Saccharomyces cerevisiae S288C: one gene and its partners. The gene in region 3 interacts genetically with the main gene of each other region. Each region holds a gene or a part of one and is shown on either strand. Other genes may lie near its edges.

The links.
Region 1: mutations in EMA35 (region 3) and YBR287W together harm fitness more than expected from each alone (negative genetic interaction), as found in Saccharomyces cerevisiae (one large-scale study listed by BioGRID).
Region 2: mutations in EMA35 (region 3) and IGO2 together harm fitness more than expected from each alone (negative genetic interaction), as found in Saccharomyces cerevisiae (one large-scale study listed by BioGRID).
Region 4: mutations in EMA35 (region 3) and YJR154W together harm fitness more than expected from each alone (negative genetic interaction), as found in Saccharomyces cerevisiae (one large-scale study listed by BioGRID).

The regions. Positions count from the first base shown.
Region 1 is NC_001134.8:774,995-778,361, reverse strand, and holds YBR287W (uncharacterized protein), read right to left. Parts: upstream 1,792-3,367; coding exon 508-1,791; downstream 1-507. Other genes in the region: APM3 (Apm3p), read left to right, coding at 1-350; APE3 (aminopeptidase Y), read right to left, coding at 2,049-3,367.
Region 2 is NC_001140.6:368,346-370,949, forward strand, and holds IGO2 (phosphatase regulator), read left to right. Parts: upstream 1-1,708; coding exon 1,709-2,104; downstream 2,105-2,604. Other genes in the region: ECM14 (putative metallocarboxypeptidase), read right to left, coding at 157-1,449; NSG1 (Nsg1p), read right to left, coding at 2,377-2,604. UniProt on the Saccharomyces cerevisiae protein: Required for TORC1 to properly control gene expression and chronological life span. Plays an essential role in initiation of the G0 program by preventing the degradation of specific nutrient-regulated mRNAs via the 5'-3' mRNA decay pathway.
Region 3 is NC_001135.5:300,736-304,196, forward strand, and holds EMA35 (Ema35p), read right to left. Parts: upstream 1,487-3,461; coding exon 536-1,486; downstream 1-535. Other genes in the region: YCR099C (uncharacterized protein), read right to left, coding at 97-564; YCR101C (uncharacterized protein), read right to left, coding at 1,747-2,295.
Region 4 is NC_001142.9:724,130-727,337, reverse strand, and holds YJR154W (uncharacterized protein), read right to left. Parts: upstream 1,555-3,208; coding exon 514-1,554; downstream 1-513.

The DNA of each region.
Region 1 (3,367 bases), on a different chromosome or scaffold from region 3:
ATCCAAATGAAATAGCATATAAGATAAAAATATTGCGCAATACTCATGGCCGTTTTGAAAATAGCATTATCATGGGTCAAGGACAATGGATTTTTGATAAATCAACTGCCACTGGAACGGTACCTGTACTACGTGGCTGTATTGAGTATGAAAATACTGGGCCAAATTTTACAAAAAAAGTTGATTTACAAACAGTCTCCTTAGAATATTCTTACATAGGACAATCGGCCAGTGGAATCTATGTAGAAGCCATCGATATTGTATCTGGATTAACAATTGGCAAAAATACAAAGCTGTACAAGGGTGCAAAGTATAAGACCCAGACAGGCAATTTTCAAGTAAGGCTGTAGTTATATGTGTACTTGAAATTCCATGCGAAACTAAATAGAATATAATGAGAATATAAGTCTTGGAATAAAAAAGGAATATAAAACTATGCTAAAAAAAAAAAAAAATGAATAAGACTTTCATTCATGAAGACTCTATACAAAGGAATGAAAAGTTGTATTAAGTTGGGTTAGCCCACTGTAAAACGTAAATTGCACCTGAGACAACAATAATACTTACAGGCAAACTTAAGACAGCGTACCCCCAAAATAGAATATCGGCCATTTCTGCCTCGAAAAATTCATTCAGTTGAGTGATTTGAGTTAATTGAATGGCAGGAGGGGAAACAGTCAAAAGAAAACCGACAACAAGGAAAATTGGATCGTCCAAAATACTCACGTTTATGTACTTAACAGCAATAGCAATAATAGGCAAAAGGAAGCAAGAAGGTAAAATCATTCTTCCGATGATGGAGCCGATCAATAACTTGCTATGGTGAACCGTCTTAGGGAAGACTTCCGCAGAAGGATATAAGTTAGAACCGAGGACAACCAGGATCAGTGGGATAGAAACTGAACCCAGCTGCGTAACAGCCTCGGCAAATGTGTTATTGATAAACCCATCTTCCATAAATAGCTCTCTCTGCAACGGACCAATTGCTGCCACAACAACAGCAAAAATCATGGAATATAACGGAGGATTAAGGTTCGCTCTGATTCTCTCAAATACAGTGCATGATTTTTGCCAAATCTTATCACCGATGGAACTCGAACTCAAAAAAGATGAGTTCATTCTGTTATTTTCTTCTTCAAGCAATTCTTGTTCCTCTTGTTCCTCATTGACAAGTTCCTCGTTATCAATGTTGGGCGTCCTTTCCAACAAAGATTGCACTTGAGAAGGTGGCATATGCTGAGTGTTCTCTCCAGACCACTTCATTAGCTTATTGTAACCCCAGCTCCACCTCAGCATTTGTCCGATTTGTTGAAAGATCAGCAAGTATAAAATACCCCTTGATGCAACGTTATCTCTGTTATCATTAGGAATTTGGTCCCAAGTTAAGTTGGGCAGAGTGTAAGCCAAAGATAATGTCAAGGACACAGGTAGAGAGTTACTGTTACCAAAGACAGAGTTTGCCACCACAAAATTAGTTTCATCTTTATCCAAGTCTAGGATACGGCTCATTATCTTTCCGGAAATAAATGAAATACCAGTAGTCAAACCAAAAAAAATAGGAATGATGGCTATTTCAAAGATTTTGGCCATGGACAGGGATTTGGCCAACTTACTAAAAATAAGACATGGTGTAAAAAGGTCCACGTTCAACAGAGAAATGATTTTTTGACTTTGTTTGGGCAGCAGACCAGAACTAGCGCTCCAAAAACCAGCGAGTGCGATAATGACTACCTGTAAAACGGACTCAAAGACCAAATAAGCCAAATGAGCAAAACTAAATGTTTCAACCATATAGTAGAAATGCAGAGTAATCTATGAGGGTATGGTTAGTTGGGAATAACAAACCAAAAACGGGCTTCACACATATTGTTCAATTTACAATAATTTCCTGTTTAAACTTTTATATCACAATTTCAGTTTTTTTTTCTACCTTTTTTTCACTTTGATAAGGAGGCTGTGATCCCCTTGATGCACGTGCAGTTAAAAAAAAGAGGGTTTTTATTTTCTTTTAGATAATTATACAGAAATACTTGATGTGAACAGTACACTTAAATAATCAAGAAGTCGGCCCTGTACTTAAATTGTGGTTGTTGAGCATTCAATATGTCCACCTCTTTGTGCTTTTGGGTTTCTCTTTTTGGGAAACCCTCGAAAGAGTCAGCATAGGTGGCCACAGAGTGAGCAATCAACTTGGTGTTGGTAATGAATGCGTCCCAGGATAAGTTAGAGACATCATCACATAATTGATGGTAGCATCTGTCTAAGACCTTTCCGTTGTTGACGTTATTCTTTTCGGCACCAGTGGCAATACCACCGGCTGGAATTCCGTTGTTGATAAACCCGACATAATCGGATCTACCGTCAAATGGGACCAAAGTGTAGTTCAAGTGATGAGCCTTGTAGTAGTCTACGTACAGGTTTTTCAACTCTTCAGACCCCTTAGGGTTCTCCTTGTTGTTCGCATCATAAATTTCGTATTCATAGTTTGGAGAAGCCATCATGTCATAGTCCATAAATACTCTGATCTTGGAGTTTTCTTCTTTGGTCAAGTTATAAGCGTAGAAGTTAGAGCCTAGCAAACCTTCTTCTTCAGCAGCCCACCATGCAAAACGGACCTTGTTATTGATCTTGAAATGGGTCAATTGCTTAGCGACGTTCAATAGGGAAATAGTACCGGAACCATCGTCGTTGATACCTGGGCCCTCCTCAACAGAGTCTGAATGAGCACCAAGGGCAACAATATTATCAGGATCACCGTGTTTTGTGTCGGCAATGATGTTCTGGGTCTTGATAAATTCTACATAAGAGTCCATGGCAAAATATAATGAATAATCGATGTTCAATGCAATATTGGCAATCAATTTTTTACCAACTTTATATGGAACACCGACGGTGGCGACAGTGTGCTTGGTAGGTTCGCCTAATGTACCGTGTAGTCCTTCTTTAGATTTAGGTTCGTTGTCGTAAATGACCACAGCGGTGAAACCGAACTTACCGGCCAAATTACTCTTATCGCCAAAAGGACACTTACCTCTTTCGATAAGGGCAATTTGCTTTTCGTTGTGTCTTGGTGGGACTACAGAGGCGTAATCCTTCTCTTCACATCCCAAGTTAGGAATTTCGACTAGCTTACCTACGAACCCGTCCACAGGTGGAGAAAGTGCGAAAGCTGTAGTGTTAGCAAAGCTTTTACCGGTTTCGGCGTCAGAGAGGTTGAAAGAGATGATCTTACCGGATAAAGCTTCGAACTCTTGCAAAGAAACATCATAGTAGTCCTGCATGTCATCGAAAACATTCAATATGTATTCCATAGTCTTGTTATGACCCTTGGACCCGATCACACGGGTAGGGTGACCGTAGTCAGGAG
Region 2 (2,604 bases), on a different chromosome or scaffold from region 3:
GGTTCTGCTCATGTTAGGGGGTGTATGAGCAGATAATCCAAGTTAAAATAATTTTTTGGAGAATATAGAAGAAAATATATAAGGTTTTGCTTTTTCTAGATTTTATATAGGATAGGGTATTACTAACTTGTAATATAATGTATACCGTGGTATCCATTATATCTCTGGGTCTAGTAGGAAGTCACAAAAGTACTTTAAAGCAGCATAAGTTTCCTTTCCAACTGGCTTGATGTTTTCTGGAGGCAATAAAAATCCATGGTTCCCTGTATCCCGTAATTTCAACTGGAATGCCCAATGTGCTCTGTGGTGGTACATGAAGTCCAACGCAGAACCTGCACCGAGGCCGGGGAATATGTCGGAACCACGGTCCTTACATGCGGAGATTACGTCGTAGTTTCTACCTGATTTTGAACGGATGGCCTTGGATAAGCCATATGATAACTCCAACAAATTTTCTAAGTCTCTGGGCAAGGCATCACACGAGTATGCGTAGGGATATAAAATCTCCTGTGAATACGAATGCATGTCAATGTAGCCATAAATTTTGTAATCGCCCTTGGTTTCATTAATATACTTGTACCAAGCAGATGCTTCCCAAGCTTCGAAGGGCGTTTCCCCACTATACTCTTCGCTGCAAGCGTGGGTGTGTGCCTTTTCCCACTGGAAACCAAAGGAATGATCAATGTCGATACCAAGACATTGAGGAACATGAGTCCTTTGACGATTCTTACGCCATAGTCTGTCATGCGACCACGTATATGCGTATCCGTCTGGATTGAACACAGGTATGACTAAAAAGTCCAAATCGTCCAGGTATTTGGTTTCCTTCTTAGACGAACCATATCGATTTAACAACTGATAAAGTGCCCAACAGACGGTACTGACACTGATCCACTCTCTGGCATGTATACCACCTGTGATAACAATAGTCTTCTTTTCCGGGTTTGATTCTGGCTTGTTTCCGGATATATGCAGAGCTTTTAGCTCTCTGCCTTCAAATGTCCTGCCCAAGTGTTCCACTGCAACCAAACTGGGAAAGCTTCTTTCTAGAAGATCCAACCACATATAAATAGTATCCAGGTCCCTGTATTCGTTAAAGAAGAAATCGTAATCATTTTCAAAAACAGCCTGCTCACGTGCCATCATCTGACTTGTAGGCAATGTATTTTGTATCAATTCATTCATGTTATCTATGATCACCTGCCCATCATTTATCTGCTCACCTATTTCTTTAGGCAACTTAATATCAATGAAATTATTGCTTCTCGTCCATACATCATAATCATCTGTCAGCGGTGCGATCACATCTCTTACCAGGGTAGAATAGTTGTCTGAAGTAAACCTGTAAACAGCGTATTCACTGTAATCCTCTTGGAGACCCTGCACAGCACCTGTCACGGCTAGTAAAACGAAAAGAAAACAACCCCACAACGAATTCATGTGCAACATGATATAACTTAACACTCTGGTTTGTTTATATAGTGTTAACTTGGTCTTTTAAACCGTCGAAAATATTTTATCCTTCCTTCCATTTAGTTGGAACCATTTTCTAGTTCTTCGTAAAATCCGCAGTCAGCGCAGGAGAAAATAGAACGAGACAAATGATCTTTTAAATTACAGGTTATCGCGGGAGAATATTGGGGTTCAGAAATACAACACATATAAACAAAAATACGTACCAAAGAAGTGTTATAAAAGTGATATAACTATGTCAGAGGATCTTTCACCTACAAGCAGCAGGGTGGATTTGAGCAATCCTCATGGGTTTACCAAAGAGGGAGTGGATTTATCGAAGCTGTCACCACAAGAACTAAAATTGTATAAAATGTATGGGAAGCTTCCATCCAAAAAAGATCTGTTAAGACATAAGATGCAGGATCGTCAATATTTTGACAGCGGAGATTATGCATTGAAAAAGGCCGGAGTCATTAAGTCGGATGACGTTATCGTGAATAATTCTAGTAATAATCTACCAGTGACCAATCCTAGCGGTTTAAGAGAGTCTATTATTAGAAGACGTATGAGTAGTAGTAGTGGTGGCGATTCTATCTCGAGACAAGGAAGTATCTCAAGTGGACCTCCACCAAGATCTCCAAATAAATGACTAATGAAGGAATGATATTATGTGGTATTACTTTTTTTTTATCATCACTAGCTTCGGCTAAGCCCTTGCATTTTCAATATTCAATTACCAAATAATATATATATATATATATATATATGTATGTATGGTATACCTTGTGTTACTGATGTGTTTTTTGTTGACGTCATCCTTTTGATTTACTCACATGCTTAGTAAATGAAGGTTGTTGAGGCCTAAAAATCAGCTAAGATTTACACATCGATACTAATCATTGAACGCCCCTATGGGAACACTTAATTGAATAAATATCTGCCCAACTTGCTGAACATCAAAAACCCAAAAAAATAGAAATCTATAAAATACAACGCCAGTGACAACTGCGAGAAACATTGTGAGCAAGTGAACGCACTAAGGGCACCAATTACTAGACCTGGGAAAAAAACGGTTAAAGTGCCATCAAAGAACAACCACAGAACAATGTTTAATAAGCTCCATGCACCAGCTGCCTGCAAAGAGGAGGA
Region 3 (3,461 bases):
CTGTTTATTCATCATATCGTGAGGTATGTAGGCATCTTCTATTGACTTAAGCATGATAAAAGATTCACCCAAAACTGTATCGAAATATTGATAAAATTAAATTTCAAAGTCAAACTTGTTTTCAATGGTTGCTATTTTCTTACCATTCGAGCTCTCCCTCAGGATTTTTTCACATGGAATGTTCATGGCCTCAATTTCCATGGGCTTTTTGCATTTATCTCCTTTAATTAATTGTAATGGCTCTAATGATACAGTTTCGCCATTAGCTTTGTCACATATATCGGAAAGGGCAATCTGATCATAATCTGGTATACAGTCACCCTTTGCATCTCTAACAAATTCAGAAGAGCATTCGTAGTCGGATTCAGTACAACTGTCACAAGGTATTTCATGCAAAATCATATCTTTGAATGTCCTTTTTACCAAACAACGGGCGTCCTGTTTCCTCCTTTTATACATGTATTTGGCGCCATTAAGGCATTTCCCATCTGCCAAATTCCAGTCTTCGAAATCTTCCTCTTCACACGTTTTATAGTCAAAATGCAGCAGAAAAATCGATCGCATACAGGACACTTCTTGCAATATATGAGATGTTGGTGTTGTTTCCTTCTTGACTAGCCGTAGTAATGAGATGTCCGCTTAAAATAAATTTTGAGCCTGATCCATCTGGCGTTGTATTAATCAACTCTAATGGATGGATATAAAATAAAGCGTCAACAAGCTCATATTGATTCCATGTTCTACCTTGGTCCAAGGAAAAATAAAGTTTGGATTGTACATCACCATCTTTATATGAAGGAGACGGGATATATACAATAATATTTCCCAGATCACCAGTAGCATATAATCCAGAAGAATTATGGGCCACCCTCCATGTTAGACCACCGTCTCTAGAAATGAAAGTTTTTCGGTCCTTCCGATCGAATTCATTGTCATCGCCAACAGAACCTGTCATTAATATGATCCCAGCAGAAGGATTTGAAAGTTTTAGATTGTAAAAATAACCCTGAAGTGAACATCTCTCAGGCCTAGTGATATCACAGCCGAACGAATCGGCATTTTCTTCATCAACAACTTTCAAATTTGACCATGTGAGGCCGTTATCAACGGATATTTTGGTTTCTCCTCCGGCTATATTTTCAGTATAGTTTACTTGGTGATTAGAATAGTCAATGGAAGGATGAAACGATCCAAATATTGTCCCTTTCAAGAAATCAGGAAAAGTGAGCCTAAAATTTCCAAACTGATGGTTTGGTGTCCATTCAACAGGTGAGAATTTCAACCCTTGCGAATCTGATATGAAAATCTCTGAGAGATCTGGATCAGCATTTTCCTCATTTGTGATTTCTGTCGATATAAGAAGGATGATCCTTCCGATAGAATCTTCACGAATTTTAATCACTTTGACGTGCCGTAATTGAGTAGGCAGCTGTGCCTTTTGAAAAGTAGATGCATCATTGGATATCCAGATGTCCGTAGATGACATCTCGTTATGCCCGTCATCTTGCGTTAAAACGACCACATATGACTTCAATATCTTGTATTGAGTAACAATCTTATCTTTAAATTCATCAAAATCTTTAAACGTTTTGCCTCCATCACTACTGAAAGCCAACTGTGTGTAGGTAGCAGTTAAGCGATATTCTTCATCGTATTCACGGTTAGAGAACAAACAGAGTATCGAAGTATCATTACCAGTAAAGTCAGAATCCTTGCTAGACTTAATGAAATGACAGCTTTAAGTTGTTATATCGTCGTCTTTTTTCTTTTCCAAGGAAGGTTTAATTTTAAAAAAGGATTCCCATCATTGCTCAAGTAAATTTCACTTGGGTCATATAAAACGTCTGCGTCTATCATATAGCTATAGCAATTCGCAATAAGAAGTTCTTTGTTTCTAGGATGAGTAGTTATAAAACAGTCGCCATCTAAATATTCTTCTGATGAGGGTATAGTTAAAGCCCTCCATGACTCCCCACGGTCGTCGGTAATGTAGAATTTGGGTGATTCACATATAAAAGCGAAACCTCTTTCCTGTCCATGGAAAGGATCAACAGTAAATCTGAAAATGCGCTCTTCAATTTCTTTGACCGTTTCCCAATTTTCTCCAGCGTCGAAACTTATCCATACAACCCCCCAACCATCTAATCTGATAGAAGTGTTGGAATCATCAAAACTCACTAGATTAAATGATGTTTCTATAGGAGCCTCCGTTACTTTTGGGACAAATTTCTCTGCATTGAGTAGCGGAAGTAGTATAATTACCCAAAGAGTATATATGGCATGAAGTAATATCATAATTGAGGATCTCTTACCTTTTCTTAGTTCAAAGTTTTTTTTCAAAGCTCGGAACTTTATGCTACAATTCAATGACTAAAAAAAAGGTAGCGGATAATCTTTTGGTTGCAAATTGGCGGCATTTAAATATATTTTGGGTTGCAAGTATTCTAAAAATATTCTCATAATATTCTAAAAATATCCAGTCTAGGTAATTGCAATTATTTTGAGTCCGGTGACTTTGAGTTGACCATGTTCACTTCCTGTACAGCCATCAAGGTAACGTGTTTACCATCTAATGGAGAAAACCAAGAGATAAGACTAGAAACCTAGTTAGGATACTTGGATTTGCTAATGTCGCCAGTAGTACGATAATACCATAAAGATACGCTGTTGAACCTGATTTGTATATTTAAAGAATGGGAATCTTTAAGGGATCATAGTCTAGAATGGTATTCTGCAGAATAGATTTTAAATGGTGAAAACTTTCCCTCACTATGTCCAATTGATGCTTTTTAGGATGACGTTAGAATTTTATTCTGGTGAAGGCACTTTTAATATGAAGATTCGTTGAAGTATCAATAACCTTTTATTGGCATACCCTTACCTAACTGGTCTCTCTCACCTCGTGATGTTACGAACGCCACGATTATTCTCAAACTAGGTAAAGATTTTTTCTTCAAAATTAGTGGGAAAGACTCGACAGACCCGCTTACCAGGTATTCTTTCTAAACAATAGGGTTTACCAGTACCCCTGAAAATGATAATGCCCATGTGCGGCTGATCGCGTTAACTACGTATGCAGTTGAATCAAAGCCATACCACAGAAAATGGTACAAGAGCCCACTGGATAGAATAGTGCTGGCTATCAAACCAATATTTTCTTTCCAGCTCTTGGGGGACCTCTACTGCGTTATATCGTAGTTTCCATTCAGCCTGCTTATCGCCTTAGGAAAAGGGAATGTAAGAGGCAGAAAAGTGCGGCGCAATCGTTCGGACAGCGAGCCGCTATTATAGGTAAGAATTCTTAAAGAGCTTCGCCGGATATTATTACAGTGTATTAAATTTCGCCAAGTCTTTGCCAATGGAAATAGGTGCATAATTTTATGTGCTTGGTACATATGAGTTCAATAGATATGTAGTAGTTGGATAGTAGATAGTAAGGATATATAATCATGGAAGGGTGA
Region 4 (3,208 bases), on a different chromosome or scaffold from region 3:
CCTGCTTGGTAAAAAGCATCAAGTAGCTCAAAAGCTTGTTCTTTGTCCATTGATCCCATGAATCCAGACCAGGCGTCACCAATAGACATACCTCCCAGGATTAGTGGAGAAACTCTTATACCAGCTGTTTTAGATAGGACCCTAAGACGTCCTAACTCGGTAGGTGGTTCAGGTGCAGGTCCAAAAGCCTCAGACATTTCGAAGAGCACATTTTGCGGCGGTGGGTTATGAAGCTATTCAATTAATTAACCAGTCCCCAACCGAAGGTGAGAATCATATTGGGTAATACACCTTATTCCTAGTTGTGCCACTATCCTTTTATATGTTTTAAAATCCCGCTCCCTTAAATTTGTACAAGTGCAAGTAATGAAAGTTGTTCGATTTCGGTACGAAGTTTTCTTACCGGTTCCGTGCGAAAACAGCAGGGAAGTACTAGAATAGGCTTTTGAAGCATGCCACCCAGTCTGCACATTTACAGCGAACTTGTGGTGATATGTTTTCCCGTTACAATGATTATTGCGTGGACCCATAATTCACCCTTATTGTCTCTCCATAGTACCCCTTTTCGATATCATTTTCAAACAAACTAGAACTGATAAGATGTCCTGGACTCTTATAATCTATGTGACCACAAAATGGCTCACTAATTCCGAGCCCCAACAGTTGCAAGGCTTCCAATGGTAAACCCTTAAACACTCGCAAATCAGTCCCTAAGTGAAGATTTTCCTCTGGTTTCAAGTAGCTCTTTGTCATAAAAAAATATCCAGCAACTCTGTCTTGTGACGTACGATTTGCACTGGCTGCATGGTAGAGGCTCCCTAAGAATAGAACTGCGTCTCCCTTTGCAACATTAACGTGAAATTCCATCCTCTTGTCAAAGTTCCCACAGGAATCGTGCGGACCCCACAAATGTGAACCGACTATCATTCGCGTAGAGCCATTTTCTTTATTCATATCTGTAAAAGCTACACCTAACCCTACCATGGTTTCGGTTCCATACTGGAAACGTTCACATGCTTGATGGGTCGTATGATGAACAATATCTTCTCGGTGGTAGCCCTGGTCACTTGCACCAGCGCCAACCTTGTAGACTATACCGGAGTTCAGTTGAATATCACTAGTGCATTTATTAATCACCTTTCCCGCCGCAAAGTAGTTTTCTTCATTCAAAAAATGTTTTGAGATATCACAAAACATACGGTCGCATACCACATCCTTTAAGACTGTAGATGAGTGTAAAACCGATCTCGTTGCCACAGTAGTTTCCTTAGGAAACGGTGAGCCTTGCCATGATTCGTATCTATAAAAATGCGGTTCGATTTCTTTCAATATTTCATCACATCTGGAGGTCTCTATAAAATTCTTGACCACGCAAAGTCCGTATACTTCCATTTTTTCAATAATTGCTTTGTAATCGAACTTGTCTTCGACTGTGAATGCCTTTTGCGTTAAGCCAGGCTGGCATACGCCAAGATCTTCCTTTTTTTTCATATTAATGTATTTTTGGCCACCTATATTGTATGGCTCACTAAGGTTGTGTGAATCTGTGTTCATCGTATGGATTGCGTTTTGAATCTGTCCTGCTTGTACTTTGAGTAGGGGAAATCTCTCGTCTTAAGATCTCATGGATGTGCTTTATATACTTTATTAGTTTTACAGACGCGTCACCTGCTATCAACACATGACCTTAATGTTAGACTCTGATTAATTAAATATTCTATTTCTGTTGAGAATAAATTACTATTACTCCGGGGCAGCAGTACCTTCATTTTGAAGGAAAATGAGACAATCTTGCCTCTTTTCCAACGTAAAATTCTTTAGCAGCCCAATAATGCCTCACTTCGCGTTATGTCACTTATTTTTTTTTTCTTTGAGTCATGTATGGACGACTACTAGCCACACCGGTGCTGAAAATCTATAAAAAACTTTGATTCATAACCCAATTTTGACTATCCTCATTAATTTTAGCAATTTCGCCTGTAGTATGTTCATAACTGCAGAATTCTACGTTATGGCAGTACTTCTTTACGTTGTTTTACCAAAAGGTATTATTTTTCGAGAAGCTTTTCAACCTGCCTAAGTTAGTAAACCCTTTTCGCTTTTTTCAACATTCTATGGCTTTTCCCTAGCACTGACATATCTGTAAGTTGATTGCGTGGGACGTCTAGCGCAGGTTTTGAGAAGTTTCCAACAGGCATATCTAGCTTGATATTATTAGGGGTCTATCTGAATCGCTTATGTAAACAAATATTCAACTAGCTTTTCTGTCACTGCAATCGGTAAAATTTTAAACGGCCGTTTCTGCATGTACGCCAACTCACAGTTAAAGCATTCAAAAATTCAAAGGAATTACTAGTAACGCATATTACAAATTCTTTAAACATAAATACTAAGCTATATTGAGCCAAGAACATTCGTTGAATTTTTTTTCCGCCAGTAATGAAAGATATAGTTCGAACTAGGGTAATTGTACTCACGATGGGAGAAATAATAAAAAAATCAATATCTAAAGTCTGACGTACCGTAAAGTTTTCATCACGAACTATGGCGAAGGTTGATGAGACTCTCTAAAATTATTTTGATTTTTGAAGGACGTTTCCCTAATAATTATTAGGGAAAACAGTGCCTTGTCACAGATGAACTGGAATGTACGAGTTAAGGATACTCATATACAACTGCGAATTATGTAATTACATCTATTTTCAGCTTTTGCTATATATTGCATAATTCGGCAGACTTAGTTTATAACAAGAGGCAAAGTAAATAGCCTTTAAAATTTCAATATTGCAGACAACACAATATCGATAAACATAAAATGGAGAAGGCCTTAAAGATATTTTGGCTTTTTTCTCACTGGCTCGATGGGTAACAATGGTCAAAAAAACAGGGCTATTATTTGAGTCAGCGAAGTTTCACAATTGTGTCATATTGGTAGATGCACTGATATTACCGAAGACTTTGTCATTACTTTCTCATGTACGCTGGATTAACGCTATTGAGGACGGTTTTTTATGTAACTTTTTCAGCCGCAGCGTTTTGTAGGCAGATGAAGTGCGCTCATTCGTTTCAATTGTAGTACTTAGTCGCATTTACCATTTTTTTTACCAATTATTGACCTTCCTGTTTCAGACGATCCCAAGGGTCCAGAATGAAACATAAACTATAGTCTTGAACAGAGATTTTCTTCTCAATTAGGACTTTTAGGCTC